2 linked regions of the Drosophila melanogaster genome follow. The protein of the gene in region 1 interacts with the protein of each later gene in a pairwise test. Each region holds a gene or a part of one and is shown on either strand. Other genes may lie near its edges.

Region 1 (8,617 bases):
AATGTTTATAAACAAATGTACCCAATTTCCGACTACCTCAAGTTGAATTCTTTGTTTTCCTCTCTCGGAAAAACTGGCTAACATCCAACCATCGGAAGGTGAATCAATAGCCAGAAAACGAACTCAAATAGTTTTTACCTCATTTTGGCGCATTTCTTTTTCTAGTTTTTCCCAAAAGAAATATATTTTCACCCATTTTGTTTTGCTAATTTTCCTTTGGCTTTCGTTTCCGCTGCTGGCTCATTGACTATTTGTTAATTTTGTAAATAATTACCGGCAATTAGAAATGATTATTCCGCATTGCTTTTGGCATTTATAGGACCAGCTCATTGTTTGCGCTCATGTCTCACCAAATGTCCTGCGGCAAAACCAATTAACTTGAATGCTTAACACAAGCACGAGCTGCTTGAATTGAGTTTCAAGTACTTTTTCAGACACCTGTGCAGACATTTTCCATGAATTGCTCATAAATCTGATGTTAATTACACAAGGAAGCTCGCCCCGAAAAATTGCGGCTGGGCTTAAGACGTCGTTTCCAGTAGCTGACACTTTGATATTCGAGAGCCTTTAAGACTATGATCCTTTATTGAAAATAAGGGGGAGAAAAACTGGTAATTATTTAAACGTTGTTGTTGGCTACCAACACTTGAGTACTTTTAGCCGAGTTACCTTAACCAAATTACGGTCAGCTTAATTTTAGTCATGACAATTGCCAACTGAATACAGAGCACATCCGAGTACCTGTATCAAAGGACTCTAGTAACTCATTACAAATTGGAGCATAAAATCTAACTCCGGAGGACCGTATGACCAACGGGCAGTTGTAATTTCCAGACACGTTCCCACATGACCTGGCCATTAATTCGGACCAGTTCGCAACATAATTGGCCAGGCACCTTGTAATGGCCAAAACTGATTTCCATATTAATTGCTCATTAGCCCGTGGTGCGGAAGTGCGGCTTGTCTTTTGGCCCGAGTGCATTAACATGCGGCAATAGCTTGACCAAGATTACGCATACGCACTGCGGCTGGTGGTCTGGGACACTGAGAAGTTGCTAACAGCCTTGCGGTCGTGCGGTTGCTGTGGTCGAACAAATATTATTGTTGCCGCAAATTGAAGCTGCCTGCCACGAACAAAAGACAAGTGCTTAAATCCAGCGGGGTATCCACCACCCGGCCATAAATCAATTTGCGGGCAGCCCTTGCCCAGGATAAGTTTGGCAACAGATGCCCGGCCTAATGATGCGTTCTTTAACACAGCGAGAAAGCGAAAATTAAATATTAATATTCAATTAGGAGAACAATTATTGATTTCCAGCCTGGCCTTTCTCGAACCTTTTGACTTTCAACGCAATTTTGATTAAGAAGTGGAAAGTTAAACGGCGCTCTGAGTCCGAAACTCATCAGCAGGCGATTCACGTCAGGACATTTTATCGCAGCCACATGTCGCATGCCGCAGCACAATGGACCAACAGGATGATGTACTAGGATACATATAATGCCACAACTATGTAGCCAGCTGGACGGACGGGCAGTGGAGTCCCATTTTTGAATAATTTAATGAGCTGCCGGGCGTCGGCGGCGTATGCGCAATATTAAATCCTGGCGACCGCCCATTTATCATCGACCCACATCCTCGCACACACAGACTGCGCATCCACAGCCACAGCCACATCCACATGCACATCCTTTCCAGCACGTCAGTTTAATATGTTTTTAATTGTCCGCCACTGGCAGAAGAGTCTACTTGGCTTTAATGACCTCTCCGCCGCGTAAATGTCTCCTTTTTTAATTTTTAATGCCGCCCATTAAGGCGGAATCGTGTACGTATCAGGAAGACTCGGCGAGCAAGTTAATTAATTTTTACAACGCCACGCCAGTTGGCACAAAATTTGACGATAAATCAACTGATAACGTCAGCACATTTAGCGACATCCCCATTCCCAGCCAAAAAGGCAACGTTTTGATAAACTTTTCGCCATGTTTAGGCGGAGTTCGCGATTGACGTGTGCGGCTGACACAAATCGAAAGGCAACAACTTGGCCCGAAGGGTTGGTGGCCAAGTTTTCTGGGTCAGCGTGTGGGAAATCTTTAATCAGAAACTGTTTAATGCAAGGGTTTTTCCCCCACTTATTCCGGGATAAACAAGTTGGGAACAGGGTGTGCGTGGGCACACATCTTGTTTAACTTAAGTGACAATGAAAGGTCAAAGTTTACGCATGCTTAAAAGGAGACTCAATAGTTAAACCAACTCAAAAGGGTTTGTGCCATACATCGTTCTGTGTGTTGATTTTACTTAGGAAAACAAAGGATCGAAAGATGTTTTCTTAAAAAAAAAACATTTTCTTACGCAAAATAATCTTAAATGCTTTCAACCGCTCTTATTCGATTTTACTTCAGCTCGTTTATCATAACTCTATGTTCAATTTTAATATAAACTTCTTAAACTCTTTACTTTAAAGTTGTTTTCAGCATTGTTTTAAAACGTGAGTTATTTCTCGTATTCAATTGCAAATGTCAAGCCAGCAGCATCCCAACAATATGTTAGCCAATTTATTATCCCATCAGCCGCAAAAGCCATTAAAGCAGCGGGTATAAAAGCAAAGACACAGATGCTTTAGATGGGGTAGAATGTTTTCAGTGTATAATCTATAAATTGTAGATAAAGATATTGCAATTCAGACACATGGGATACAATGTAAAAGCATCAAAATAAATCTCCCTGTTACGTTAAAGCCATATTCATTGGATTCGGGGTCGGACTCCTCACGATTTTCTCCTACTTCTTGCTACTGCTGCTCTGCTGGATGACAGCGCAAATTTTATCAAATGCCGATTCCAGACTGTCTATGAACACCTTCCCATCGGCCTGGTTTTTGTACGTGGTGACAATGGCGCCGGCAAAATCGTTCTGAATCGAATAGCTGAAAGAATAATGGGTTATCAACTGTCAGCTAGTGAACAATTTGTCGAGGCAACTTGAAAAATAGGTGCTGCATTTGTACATTCAAATACCCAATCTCGACAGGCAGTCAGCTTACCCGATTCCGAAGCCATTCTTGACCACCGGACCAAAGGAACCCGCTAGCAGGGCATCTGAACCCAGTGTTGAGGTACTAATGATGTTGTTATTAATGCGCTTGTAAGCCTCAGTCTCATAGAGATCGGGAATTGGTATTCCCTCCTTTTGGGCCGTGTGCCGAAGGGCAAAGAGATGCCGATCGAAGCCCTGGCCCATAGCCGCCTCCTTGGTTAACTGGCCATGCACCTTGCTGCAATTGTCGATCATTGCTCGTAGTTCTCCGGCGCTGGGCTTGCTCCTCTCCGGCTGGAGGATAGCTTCACAGAAGTCCCGTGTGGCATTTGTGCACGGTCGCATCGTTTCGGTACGTCCGTGTCGGAAGGCGGATGTGCTGCAGGATTCGTAGCTGCCCACATAGCCGCTGTAGGCTTGGCGATAAGCCAGCTGGAAGGACAGCTGAATGATGGAGTCCGGACTTAGGCCATACTGCTTGCATGTGGGCTTGTTGATGTGTGGGTACTTCAGCACATTCATGTCCAGATTATCTACAATGCTGGCGTTTTTATTATAAGCCTCCGAAACGGCCGACTTGGTGGCATCGTCGATTTCGAAGTTGATGGGCCGCACGTTGCTAAAATCGCCTTCGGCGGGAGTGTGCACTGTCTCCGTGGATACAAACGGCTGCTTCAAAGTATCCTTGTAGAGCTCGTTAAAGTAGCGAAGCACAGCCACTCCATCGCCCCACGAGTGCTCGAAGTTAATAGCCGTTGTTCCATCTGCACTTATAAGCAGGGAAATGGATTTGTCGAACCAACTGTAACAGAACAGGATGATTTTGTGAATCAGGCAGGCTTTACATAATGTCGACTTCTTACCGATTCTGCGCTTTTCCCGCCAGCAAATGCTTGAGCAGCGGCTCCTGCTGGTTTTCGTTAAAGACTCCATCTTCTTCGCCATCCAGACAAACGCAGAACAGAGCCGCATCCACCTCTCTCTCCAGAAGATCGGCATTTTTGGTGTTGCTAACAAAATGCTGTCTTGTCTTGGCCCACTCATCACGCTGTCCGGAGGTCAGAACACCAAGTGGCACGCTGGCTGCCTCGCGATCTGCATCAAGCTTAAGCACAGCCCTTAGTCTGCCCAGAATCACACTGGGACTCTCGATGTATCCACTGGAGTCCAGCACATTTACGGCGTACATGTGACCGCGGCGCATAACCAGAATGTGCTTGGCGTCCGGTGACTGGACCAGCTCGTCCTTGCCGATCCTAGGAATCCTAGAGGTGCCAAACAACCGGTTGTACTGGCTCATGTCCAGCGGAAAGGCCTTGAAGGCATAAGACGCGTAGGTGGCAAAGGCTTTGGGAGCCACCTTCATCCACCTGCGGTAGCTGGAAGTGTCGCTCTTCTTGGCGTTCATGTGGTACACCTCCGGCTCCAGGAGATCCGCCTGCAGAGATCGCCAGAACCGTAACGAGCTGATGATCAGGTTGGTAGCCCTAACCACCTGTTGCTGGTACTCCGGTCGCGCGTCGCTTTTCATCACCAGCAGCGGATTATAGTTGAGTGGCAGGGGCGCTCGATCGGCTAGATACATGTCGAACCAGGGCTGCGAGATGTAGCTGGTATGCTTGTTCTCTGCATCATGGCTCTTGAGTTTCGCGTGTAGTTCCATGCCGATCCCCTGGCGAAACTGTTCCACCGTTTGCTGGGTCTGCGCCTGCTCCGCCGGCGAGAGTAGTGGCTTGGTGGCCTCCAGGAAACGCCGACAGCTGTTCTCCAACAGAGGAATGGGCAATCGCGGCAAGGAGCGCTGAAAGTACAGCGTTGGCAGCTTGGAACATTGCAGGTATTGGTAGTGCTGGCCATGAGTGGTCGTTGTCCTCGACGAGTTCGTCGATATCCACGACAGATTGCGGTGCACCCGGGTCCGAAACATGGCTATCCACTCGATGGCTTTCCAAATTGAGTAACTTTTGTTGTTTAAACTCGAGAGGCGACGTTTCAAAGTCCACAACAGAAAGTCCAACAACAAGATGAAAATTCGCGAGCCAGATCAGCTGTTCGCCATTGATGATCACAGCTGATCGCCGTCATCGATAGTTACCTTACGGTATTTTTGGTATTTTTCAGTACCTGTAATGGCGCCAAAATATTTGAATATCGTATATGTTTGAAATTTACGATAAATAGATCTTTGCGGATTTTATTATTATTATGTATAACTGTACTATATTATATGGGTTAAAATTCATGTTTAATATCTTTTGTAAATTTTTTATATTTATAGCACTATAAATTGAATTTGCAATAATCAGATTCCAATCGCATGCCGGGCACGAAATTTTGAATTGTCATGATTTTATTGAATTACCATAACGACGATAATGAGAAATGAAATTACCACTCAAAATCAGCGCTGCTCTTCGCGGTCAAACATTTCGCTTTCACGGCTCGAGTTTCACATTTGGCTGACCTTATGGCTAACATTTAACATTTGAGGTCCGTGCTCGCAAAGGAAAGGGCTTGCGGATCTCCCTGAACTCCGCATAATTTCGCACTTTGCCCCGAAGGACTACGTTTCCGTATCCCTTTTCCGCATTTAATGCGCTTCGCTTTTGCACTTTCGCTGGCTTGTTAAATATTAACGCAATTTCACTTCGCCCAATTACACTGCAACCCATCCGCATCCTCATCCGCTTTCGCCGATGCCTCTTATGCAAATTTAAATGGAAAAGGGGATTCCCCTACTCACTTTACTTAATTTGAGGAATTGAGGGGCAGTGGATTTTATTCCGCAAGCGTCGACTGCAAAGTGCACAGATGAATCGATGGGAAGGAACGCTCGTGAAATTCGACAAAGTATAAAAATTTTATGCGCATTTTCATTTCTTTCTTAGCCCCGTAATTTAAGTAAACCATTTGTGTTTTTTCCGACTTACCTGGGAACAGTGACCGGTTGGAATACCCGCAGGAGCCTTTGACCCACCACGTCTGCAAGATGTCCTGACCCCTCCGAAGATCTGTTTCTTCCCCGGGAAACCCTCGTCGTCCAAGCTCCAAGCTCCTCGACCAGCAGACATCAACAGCGGGCAAACAAATAAACGCCACGCAAATGCAAACAAAACGCTGTTTATCCACGGACCAAAATCGCCAGGATGCCATTGCCAAAAAGGTGAAAGGACGCTTAAGCACTTGAGCGCCTCCGAATCGAACAAATCGATGGGTAATTGCTTTGCCATTGCCCCGCGCATTTTAAAGACCAACTGCGACTTTAAATAACTGGTGGGATAAAGGACTTCAATTGGAAAGAAAAATAAATAAATAAAATTAAATGAAATATGTTGCATACTAGCACAGATTGAATTAATGTTTTTGATATAAAATGTAAACACAAAGTTAGATTTAAAGGCGCTCTTTTGTGACATATTTTTTCCACTTTTTTCGCCGTTAATAACAAAATCTATTCAAGGACCCTTGAATGTGTTTAAAAAGCATACAATCTCGACACTCATTAACAACCAACGGTAGTATAAAATTTCAACTGTCGCCGCCAGATGCGAAAACACATAAAAAACCTCTAAAAAATCCTTTTCTTTTCTGTGCGCAGAAATCAACATTTGTTTCCAGAGTCCTTTGCCGGACAATAAAACTGTTGACCATTCTAGCACGCACAGCGTGACTGGGGATCCAGATTCGAATCCTTCCTTCCTTCCTGTCTTTCTGCACCTGAAAGGTGTGGCGAATAAGTCGCTTTCGACGGGTTGACAACTGCGTAAAAATCAGGCAAAAGCACGAGGTGACCAGATGGAAGAGTTAACTGGCAAATTCCATTTGCCCCATGATGACAATGGCAAATGGGCTTGGGTTTGGGTTTGGTCGACCTTCGGACAAACGGAGATTTGCATAGATGGCTCAGCAAAAATGCCGCATTCCAGTCGAGCAAATCATTGACATGGCCATGAAGAACGGAGATAGCTCTCAAATGGCCGCGTTGACAGCCCCAAAGAAATGGAGGCAATAACTCAGGCCTCACTGTAGGAGGTTGCACTGTAGAATGGGAATGCGATGGTCGAGGTGTTGGAGTTTATGCTACCTTTAAAATATTTAAATAGGCATAAGGATAGCCTAACCATTATTTAGTGCAATTTATATAACATGTGTTCTTTTATTTTTATTGCAATACATTCCAATAAGCACATACTAAAAGTTAATTGTGCTTACTAATTAGGATTTATTTATTATTCTGCCACACACTAGCAATGCCTTATTTTAATTTCAATTTATTGAATACTTTTCAGAGTAGTGCACATTGCAGGCGGATTAAAAAGCTAAATCAAATGTAGCCAAAATATAAGCAAAAACGACGAAGCTGGGAAACAAGGACGGCATGCTGTGGAAAGTCTGGGAAATTTGCTCTTGTTTTTCCCGAGTTGTTTCCCCGCAGGCAGGCGCGGTGGGGGGAATTCAAATTTAATTCACCAACCTGTACGTGCATGACAAATAAAGCAAGCAGATTAAGTCAAAACCCACACGCCGAAAACCGACGAAATACACAGGATTCCACCCACTTTTTGAGACCTTGAAGACATCGTAGGCTGATGAATATGTAAAAGCTTTTTGCTGCCACAGTTTGCGGCTCTTGTGTGCTATTGTGCACAAACATGTTAATTTTCATAATTGCCTGGCATGCCCCAAGAAAATAATGCAGATAATTGCTGCAATTTTAGGGACACTGAACCCGAGCCATTAATTTATGATCAGCCACGAGCCACGATGGCCAGCAGCATAATTAATATGCCACAGGAACAATCGCTGGGGAATCCTTTTCCCAGGCAGCAATGTCAAGGTTCAATGTCACCAGCAATCAATAGCTGCTGGCCACAAAGTTTATTGATATTCTTGGGTGTGGCATGCATATATACGGGGGCATTGTGGAATGCTGGGAAAATGTTTGGAAACGTGGGCATCTATAAATCTTGGTTGCCTTAATAAAGTGTGATAGTGAATATTATTAATCAGCTTGTATGAAATTGTCGAGTAGTTTTACTGCCATTTAAACAGACCTTAAAGACCCTTAGCAAAGCAATGCCAACACAATCCCAAATCGTTTAAGGAGCTACGAAAATAAAGTAATGAAGGCGAAACGCCTTCTTCAAAATCAAGGCCCAAAACACACAAAAAAAAAAATAAAAATAATGGGTATACCAATTACTAAATATGTGTAATAGCACGCATGTATGTAAATCCACGCGAAATTCCTTAACTTTTGCAAAAAGCCAAGTCTGGGATTCCGCCCACTAAACAACCGCCATTGTGATGATTTTCCTAGAAGGCCAGACAAATTGCTAGCTTCGTTTTTTTTTTCCTCTATTTTATATGCTTTTTTTGGCTTTGGCGTGGAGCAAAGCGAAATCATTTTTCACAAGAGTGAAACAACGGCTACAAGAACACATTAAATTGCTATAAAGGCAACGCCAGGTCTCAGGACTCGCCCAAAGGAAGCGCCGCCGACATGTGAACTCCTGCCTATCGTTCTCATTTTGTGCACTTGGAAAATATATGCTTTAAAAATATCCAGAAAATCGAAGGACC
Region 2 (7,938 bases), on another chromosome or scaffold:
TTGCTTTTAACGATTCAAAAATTCAAAATTACTTTTTATGCTTCACGCACACCAAGGCGATAAGGCACTTGGCCAGCATAGCATAGCACACATATGATGCACTTGGGGAAAATGCTAATAAATTTTAGGAAATTAGTTGGATAAAATGAAAAAATATAAAATTGAAAAACACTACAAAGTATTCATCAAAAAAGAGATGGAGGTAATGGCCATAGTCAAGTTTAAGGTCACGTTTGACCCATATTTTCTGCAAGTGTACACACAGGGGCGTTGCTAAGGAGGGCAGCGGATGGCAATTGGGGGGGATGAGGATGGGGGGCACTAAGATCCGGATCGATTTCGTTGACGTCGTTGCTGTGATAAATCGTTGGTGGTTGCTGCTCTTGCTGGAGTGTTGCTTTTGTTTTGCCTCCACTTGCAGTTGCTCCGTCCCCTTAGCCACCCTCATTCCACCCCCTACCACAATCCCCCATTTGGGGCTTACTACAATGGCAATCCGGCGACAATGGCCAAAACTCGAGGCGGCAGCAACTGGGTGTAATATGATGCAAATCGTTTAACACTTTGACCAACAGCTCATCGCATTGTTGCCTCCGTCGCTGCCAAAGTGCATTGGTGGTAAAAAAAAAAAACAAGTCGAAAAACTTTAACGTTCCAAGAGGGCACGTAACAAAATACCAGCAAATGGGACGGGGAACGGGAGCAATCATCAGTTTTTGGGGACCAGGCGAGAAAACGGCGAGATCAAACCGAGGAGTTCGATGGACTGGCTTTTTACGGGGGGCTAAACATTATCCACGATCATTGCTGAATCACAGTTAACCATAATGTAAATATCAACCGACTGTTTGCTGTTGTGCATTTAAAGAAACCGTGAAGTTCCCTTCTCAAATATCATGAAAATAAAGTATGATTCCATTTTAGTATGCGTCAGATGTCAACGCTTTCGATTCATGCAAATTTATAACCTAAACAATTCATCATCAAGAACAACAAGCTTTACGATTATCTTACAAATTCAAGGTCTTAAGCTTGAGCTCTATATTCTTCAGTATGTAGTCCCTATACCAATTTCACATGATCTAGCTACTCTCTTGCTAGAAACTTCGTATCTTTCCCATTGTTGTCAAGCGCGGTATCCCCCGGATCGCTATGGTGACACTTAAGACCGCTAGGAAATCCAAGTGACCCCAATGGAAGCCCATTTAAGGGGTTCAAGCACCCAGCTGGGCATGTGCTCAAGCTCAAGCTCAAGCGGAGCGAATCCGAGTAGGATCTGTATCCATGGCGGTGTCGAGTTCTACGTCAGGTTCTGAACACGAAGCCGTGCTCAAGGTTCAGCGATATGATATGTCGTGTGTGCATTCATACTCGTACTTCCGATTATAGAGTTCTGTAAAAGCTTTTCTTCTGGGATCTCCTTTCTAAAACTCAAATATGTTCTAAAATCTCTTCTATAGGCAAAAGAACGCCGCCTATGCAAGTGTACGGCTAAGAGAGCTTTTGGGGCGTGAGAAGTGATGTTGCCGCATGTCAACCGTGCACTATCCGATGGGATCTCAGCTCATCCCCTTGGATGCCCCTATATCGCCAGCACCATCTCTACTAGTCCGCAATTAGCGCGAAGACAATCTCATTTACGCCGACGGAATTGCGCAAATGGCGGGCAGTGCGATACATTTTTAGGTACTCACGGTAATGGAAACACTTTCGGATGCACTGGCTCCACGCCTCGTGATCCGTGATCTCGTACTCCCACGCAGTCGGAGCGCCTTCTTTGATCGCTTGTTGCCACTTTAATCTTTAATTCGCCGCACTGTTCCGATTTCCGCTCCTGGGAACTGTTGATCTTAAGTAACAAAACCGAAACCGAATCTCAATCCGAATCAGAATCTGAATCTAAATCTCAAGTGGGAGCTCTTTTCGTGCGACCGTTGCGCTGCAGCCCCCAAGAGAGAGTGACACACTGAACGCCACGGACTCGGACTGCAGGGCTCGAGCTCCAATGCTCCCGTTCTCCCGCCGCTCTCTCGCCACAGTGGGCAAGGTGGTGGATTTTTCGAACATAATATTAATTATAAAATATTCAAAATAATCACACAGCATATAATAGTTTGTTACATAACTATTTTAAGTTATAAACATATATTTCTGTTATATTTAAATAGTATTGTTTATACTCGACTGTTTAAGTGCTATATCAGCGATTTGTACCACTGTGCCGTGCTCCACTTGCTCCCGCTCCCACTCACCGTGTGTGCCGTGCCAAAACGGAGATCTCCACCTCCCGTCTCGCTCGCTCTCCCTTTCTACTACTACGATGCCGCGCCCCTTTGTTTTCATTCAAAATTTCATTAAAGGATGCACACATGCACACCTCCCCTCCCCCACACACACACACAAACGCACTGGTCTGTTGATTTGCATGCACCAATTACTTTATTTTCGTGATTACACATTTACACTGTGATTACAACGGGAACCTGGAAACAGATTAGGTTCTGATCGTTCGCATCCTTGGATTCCCACAACATGCTACCTTTCATCTGGAACACAGAGAGAAATATATTATATATATATAAAATATATAATTAAGAATATGTACGAATGAATATTAATGGTGATTTGTAGAGTTTATTGTAAGGGTTCTTTACTTACCACCGGCAAAGTTTCGTTCACAAAGATATTGGCCCAATAGGCCTTTCCACCACTTGCGCTCTCTATGCATCCGTGATCTCCGTCGCAGGGATCGGGAGTTATGGCCGCCTGGGTCTTGATGTAGTTAAACACCCATCGGACTTCGTGCTTCAGAAAGCTGACGCCATTGCCTGTTAATGGGATAAAATAATAAGTTTTACTATAACATAAAACAATTATACTATTACTATCATTTTGGCTTGGCTGTACGTTTTTTATCAAAGCTGAAACTCTAATCCAATTATCTGAACATGTTTTGCATGCTCTCTTTAATCGAATTTTTGGCCAATCTTCGTTTCAGCCCCCTATCGCAAATTAGTACTCCAAATGTTCGATTCGTGCTGAGATCAATCGTTTCGATTTCGTCTCCATTTCTGCTGATTCATCAAAATACCATTAGGCGTTTAATTTATTATTTATGGATCGACTGTGGGGCTGAGCCTAGGTTGCAATCGAAATGCATTGAACATAAACAGTAGTAGTAGTAGCAGCAGGAAATTCGGTGAGTTTTTGTAGATATACAATCTTCACCAGCTTATCATTATTGCCACCATCATTTGACCATGCATATTCAGGGAATTCAGGGGGTTCCAAAACACCTTGCCCCACCCGAACATCCGCCATTCACCTGATCGAAGTTCTTCGCCCGCACCACATCTATTTTTATTTCCGACTGACTTTTGCTCAGAACGCGAGTCGAGTGTACGTTGCTCTGAGAAATCCCAATTCCGAATGCACGGATCTGCTGTTATCAGCGGAGCACCTACATACCATTATCATCGAAGCGCACAGTAACCTTAATTGTCGCGTTCCGGGCCATGGAGCAGGGCAGTGTCGTACAGCTCTCGATGTCCAGGTAGCTGACCTGGTACAAAGAACCTAAAAGAGGCAATGGAAACAGATTTAAAAGGCACATAAAACCAGAAGATATGGATCTTTTAGCTTTAGATCTTATGCTAACAACATGCTAAAATAGTTCGTAGTTATTCCTTTAAACATAATAAGGATACGATCCATAGAGTAGGTAAGGTTGGGCATTCTATCCTGAATGGATTTGGTTACGTGACATAGTACATGCCATTCAACCATATAATTAACACCTGGCAACAAAGTAAAAAACTTTACTCTCAGCAACTAAGCCGAATTATCTGCGATCCACACAGGCGATCGCCTATACATACTATATACGCATTTCTAAATAATCTATGACCAAGTGCACTTCCCAAGGCCGTTAAAAAGTTTCTATCTTCAAAAAATGAACCGCGTTCAGCATTAGATTACAACACTCAATTAACTTGGCTGCTCATTGATTACTGCCCCCCCAAAGTGGGCGTTCGCCTGTCTATCAGCGTCATAAGGTAATCCCCCATAAGGGCGTCATATCTGTTTGTTTACAGTTCCTCAAATCTAGAACATAAATCATGTATTTACTGTGCACAGTCCATAAATACTCCATTTAATCAGACATCGTAAAAACCAGAATACAATTAATAGCTCGTGTTTTGGGCAACCAAAACTAGTTAACGAAGGTTTGATGCCCTAAAATCAACTAAGCTGGGTAATTAAAAGTAGTTAAAAATAGGATTTCTTTTTCCTTGACTGCAAAATGAACAGCGTCAATCTAATTTTATATTCTGTTGATAATGAAAAATTGAAAACAAGTAACTATATTCGGGTTTTTTGTTGATGTCATTGGAATATCACGTTTATTACGCCCACAGATCTTACCCACTTTCAAATTAAGCTCTGATAGTATTTTTCGATTATGGTAATGTATCATAAATTAGATTTATCATGTCACAAGTATAAAGTGAAGTTAAAGGCGCTACTATCGGGGAATTACTCTTTATGACTATTATATATATTCGTTACTCATAGAGTAATAGGGTATACTATATTCGTTTTTTGATATTTCCATACGTAGTTCTTAAAATCCTATAACCATAAATTTATATTTAATCTCGAAATTGATTGAATTGCAAGATTGCAAGATTCAATCCTTTGCTCGGACTGCCTTAAGGTGACTAAGGGGTATCTGATGGTCGAGGAACTCTGTTATATCGTTTTCTCTTTTGTCAGATTGCGCCCTGTGAAATTTACAATATACTTGGCAGCGATATAATCTGAATTACAGTGCACAATATTGGATCCATTAAAATTCCCGAAAATGGGTGTTGCGGAAGTAATTCCTTATTATTGTATTATTATAGTATTATTCGGTAGGTCGATTTTCCACCGGAAGATAATATTTTAGTAGAATGATTTCTAATTCTAATATTTTTTCGAATATAAAGCTTTTGAGGTTTCTTTTCGAATGCATACCTTAACAAAGCCATGGTGTATAAGAAAACTGCTCGAGATATTTTCTTACCGTTTTTTTCCCCTGTGGAAATCAATTGATTTTATACGTTGTCTGAATCGACCCACCGAAAAGCACTGATCCTGAGATATACTTACCGCAATCCTCGAAGGGCAAAGATCTTAGGGACAGATATTTTTTGTAAACAGCATCTCTGGTAGACTTGATCGTTCCGCCGGCCAATTCGTGGGCAGCGCAAATAACCAAGAGTATTTTTAGATAGTAATCCATTAGGGCGCCGCGCATGGTTTAATCGACTGAGATCTTGATCGCGGTTTGATTAGAATATCGTCCAAACGAATTTTGCGTAGGTGTGCAAATAAGAAATGTTAATAACAATAACAAAGCAGTTCGTTAATCAGGATCACGGGCTGGCAACGTTTTTTTTTGGCGATACGATTTGCTTGGTGGCTATTAGGTGACTGACACCAAGAATAGTGGGTACCAACAAAAGTAGCCGGCCTCTCTTCGATTGGAGTGCTGGCACTCTCCGGGCAAACGTAAATAAATAAATAATTCGCGGACGCCTAGGCAATAAACTTTGATTTATTGACTGGAAGCCGATGGGAGCAAATAACGCTGACTTTCGCTTCAGCTCCAACTGATAAGGTCAGCGAATCTCTTTGAAGATTTCCAAACGGGAAGTCCGTGACGTAGCTGGAGGCGTGTGTGGGTCTGAGAGTGGGTGGTTGGGCGGCGGGCACGCGTGTGAGTCGCGCCTATAAATACACGAAAGTAAATCAAGTAACGCGGGCGATGTATTGATAAAAGTAACCAGCCACTTGACTTTAATTGAAAGTTAAAGAACATGGCAAGCCATAATTAAACATCATTAGATAATGTCCCCTTTAATAAATCAATTTAATCCGTAGACAGCGAAGGTGGAAAATTTTGGAATGTGAATCATTCTGGACGTCGAACTCCTCACTCAATAATACCCTTCAGATAGTTGGTGTTCTTGATGATCCTGAAATCAGTGCGCAGCTGAATGAATTGCCGCACCACCGACTTGTCCAGATAATTCTAAATAGAGTGGGGTGGATACAGATGGTAACGTAAGACTATCGCTCGACATCAAAGGCACCGCACACTTACCAGAGTGTCACCCGTGCAAACTTCTTGAAGGTTTTGGGGCTTAACAAGTAGTAAATTGCACAATGCATGCAGTATGTCAAACAGCTGCGTGACCAGTGGACTATCCAGCTCGCGAATGCACTTGCGATACTCGTTCACGTCGCAGATGGCACACATGGCGCCAGCCGTGTTGAACTGCATGGTCTGCAGGTGATCGTAGATTACTCGGTGCAACCGAGTTCCAAATTCTGTAAGAACATTCTGCAAATTCTCTCCATCAACACATTTTTTAATCTGCACAATCACGGGCTGCAGATTCTGAACGACTTGTAAGCAGGCCTAGAAAAGAAAAATAAACATTTTTAAGGATAGACAGATAAGCTCGATTTTACTAAATTTATATCTTACCGCTGAAGATATTGTATCCACATCTGTTTCCGGCTTGTAGTCCGTTTTCTTTTGTTCATATTGCAAATATACCTTGACCCAGCCAATAACAGCGCTAATAGAGCGATCAAGACCCTGGTCCAGCTTTGTCTCGATTTGCTCCATCAGAATACGTTTTTTGAACACATAGTCCGAGTACTTGGGTGTATTACTAGAAAAGAATACATTATACATTCTATAAAATGTAAATTAACAAAGTCCTAACATACCTCACACAGGGTATGACAGATGTGTGGCACAGCTTGTCCAGTAGATGGACAATGATGTTCGTCTTTTGCACCACATCAAAGAAGTAGAGCTGGGGAAAGACCCTGCCCTCGGCCAGTGGCACTGCTTGCAGTCCCAACTCCAGTGCGTAATCTACGTGCTCGTGCATCAAGAAACGAAGAAGGATATCGTTTAGCTTTATAGCATTGCCTGGTAGTTCGGTCTCGTTGGACAGCAGGCGACAGCGCTTAAGCGACGCCTTGGCCTCCTGCAGCATGTTGATGGCCAACTCTTCGGATAGGAACGTCTCCCCGCCATAGTCCTCGATGGCAGCAATATTTATGTTAGCCCGCGTGGCTATCAGCACCTCCATGTTTCTCCGAAAGCCCTTAGTAGTTGCAGTCTTTTGGTGTTTCTTGCTGGCATAGAACTTTTCCAGCTCTGTGGAACACTTGGCTGTGAGGCATTTGGTCTCCATTTCGGCGTAGCCGGCCAAATGCTTTATAAAAATCTGCTGTGTCAGCTTCTGTAACAAGTCGTCGTCGATCGTGGACATGTAGATTTGAAGATCTGTTGACAATTTTAGTGTGCTGCAAAGTGGTTGTGAAATGAAAGTAATCGCAAATTTTGACATTTAACGTAACTTCTGAATGACTCACCGCGAGTATAACTCATAAAGGGTGCGAAGATATTTCTCCTCGTCTTTTTTGTCCTCCAACTTAGTCATGGCGTACTGGTGAAGCTTCAGTTGATATATGTTAAGTATGAACTTGGACATAACCTGCTGCGGATTGGCAAACACCTTCTGGATTATCTCGTAGTGATGCTTGCATAGCGGTACAATGCCTATAAATATGTCTTTGCCACTGTACGGTTGCATTTGGCTCTGCTCGATGTATGCGTCTACACACTGAGTGTAACCCTTGAACTGGGACAAGATCTGGGCCAGTGTCTTCATGCGCTCGATGTCCTCGCTCTTCTGGGCGGTGGCAAACTCTTCGATCAACCGCCGCTCGACTTCATCGTATTTCTTTTCGATTTTTCTTTTGGATTCCGCAAAGTTTCCGGGCGGCAGATCCTGCGAGATAGCGTAGAGCTTTTGTATCACATCTGCGGCCTCACTTAATCTTGCGGCATCCGCAAAAATATCGTTG

Evidence for each region. Proteins that work in one complex are often made in the same cells at the same time.
Region 2: the proteins of CPT2 (region 1) and Npc2f interact in a two-hybrid assay, tested with the Drosophila melanogaster proteins (one large-scale study listed by BioGRID).

What each region holds. Positions count from the first base shown.
Region 1 is NT_037436.4:2,977,467-2,986,083, reverse strand, and holds CPT2 (carnitine palmitoyltransferase 2), read right to left. Parts: upstream 5,063-8,617; 5' UTR 4,962-5,062; coding exon 3,898-4,961; intron 3,837-3,897; coding exon 3,042-3,836; intron 2,925-3,041; coding exon 2,780-2,924; 3' UTR 2,533-2,779; downstream 1-2,532.
Region 2 is NT_033777.3:24,135,417-24,143,354, reverse strand, and holds Npc2f (Niemann-Pick type C-2f), read right to left. Parts: upstream 5,461-7,938; 5' UTR 5,303-5,460; coding exon 5,155-5,302; intron 3,577-5,154; coding exon 3,469-3,576; intron 2,829-3,468; coding exon 2,659-2,828; intron 2,547-2,658; coding exon 2,460-2,546; 3' UTR 2,419-2,459; downstream 1-2,418. Other genes in the region: Sec10 (secretory 10), read right to left, coding at 5,981-6,079, 6,152-6,469, 6,539-6,728, 6,787-7,374, 7,444-7,938.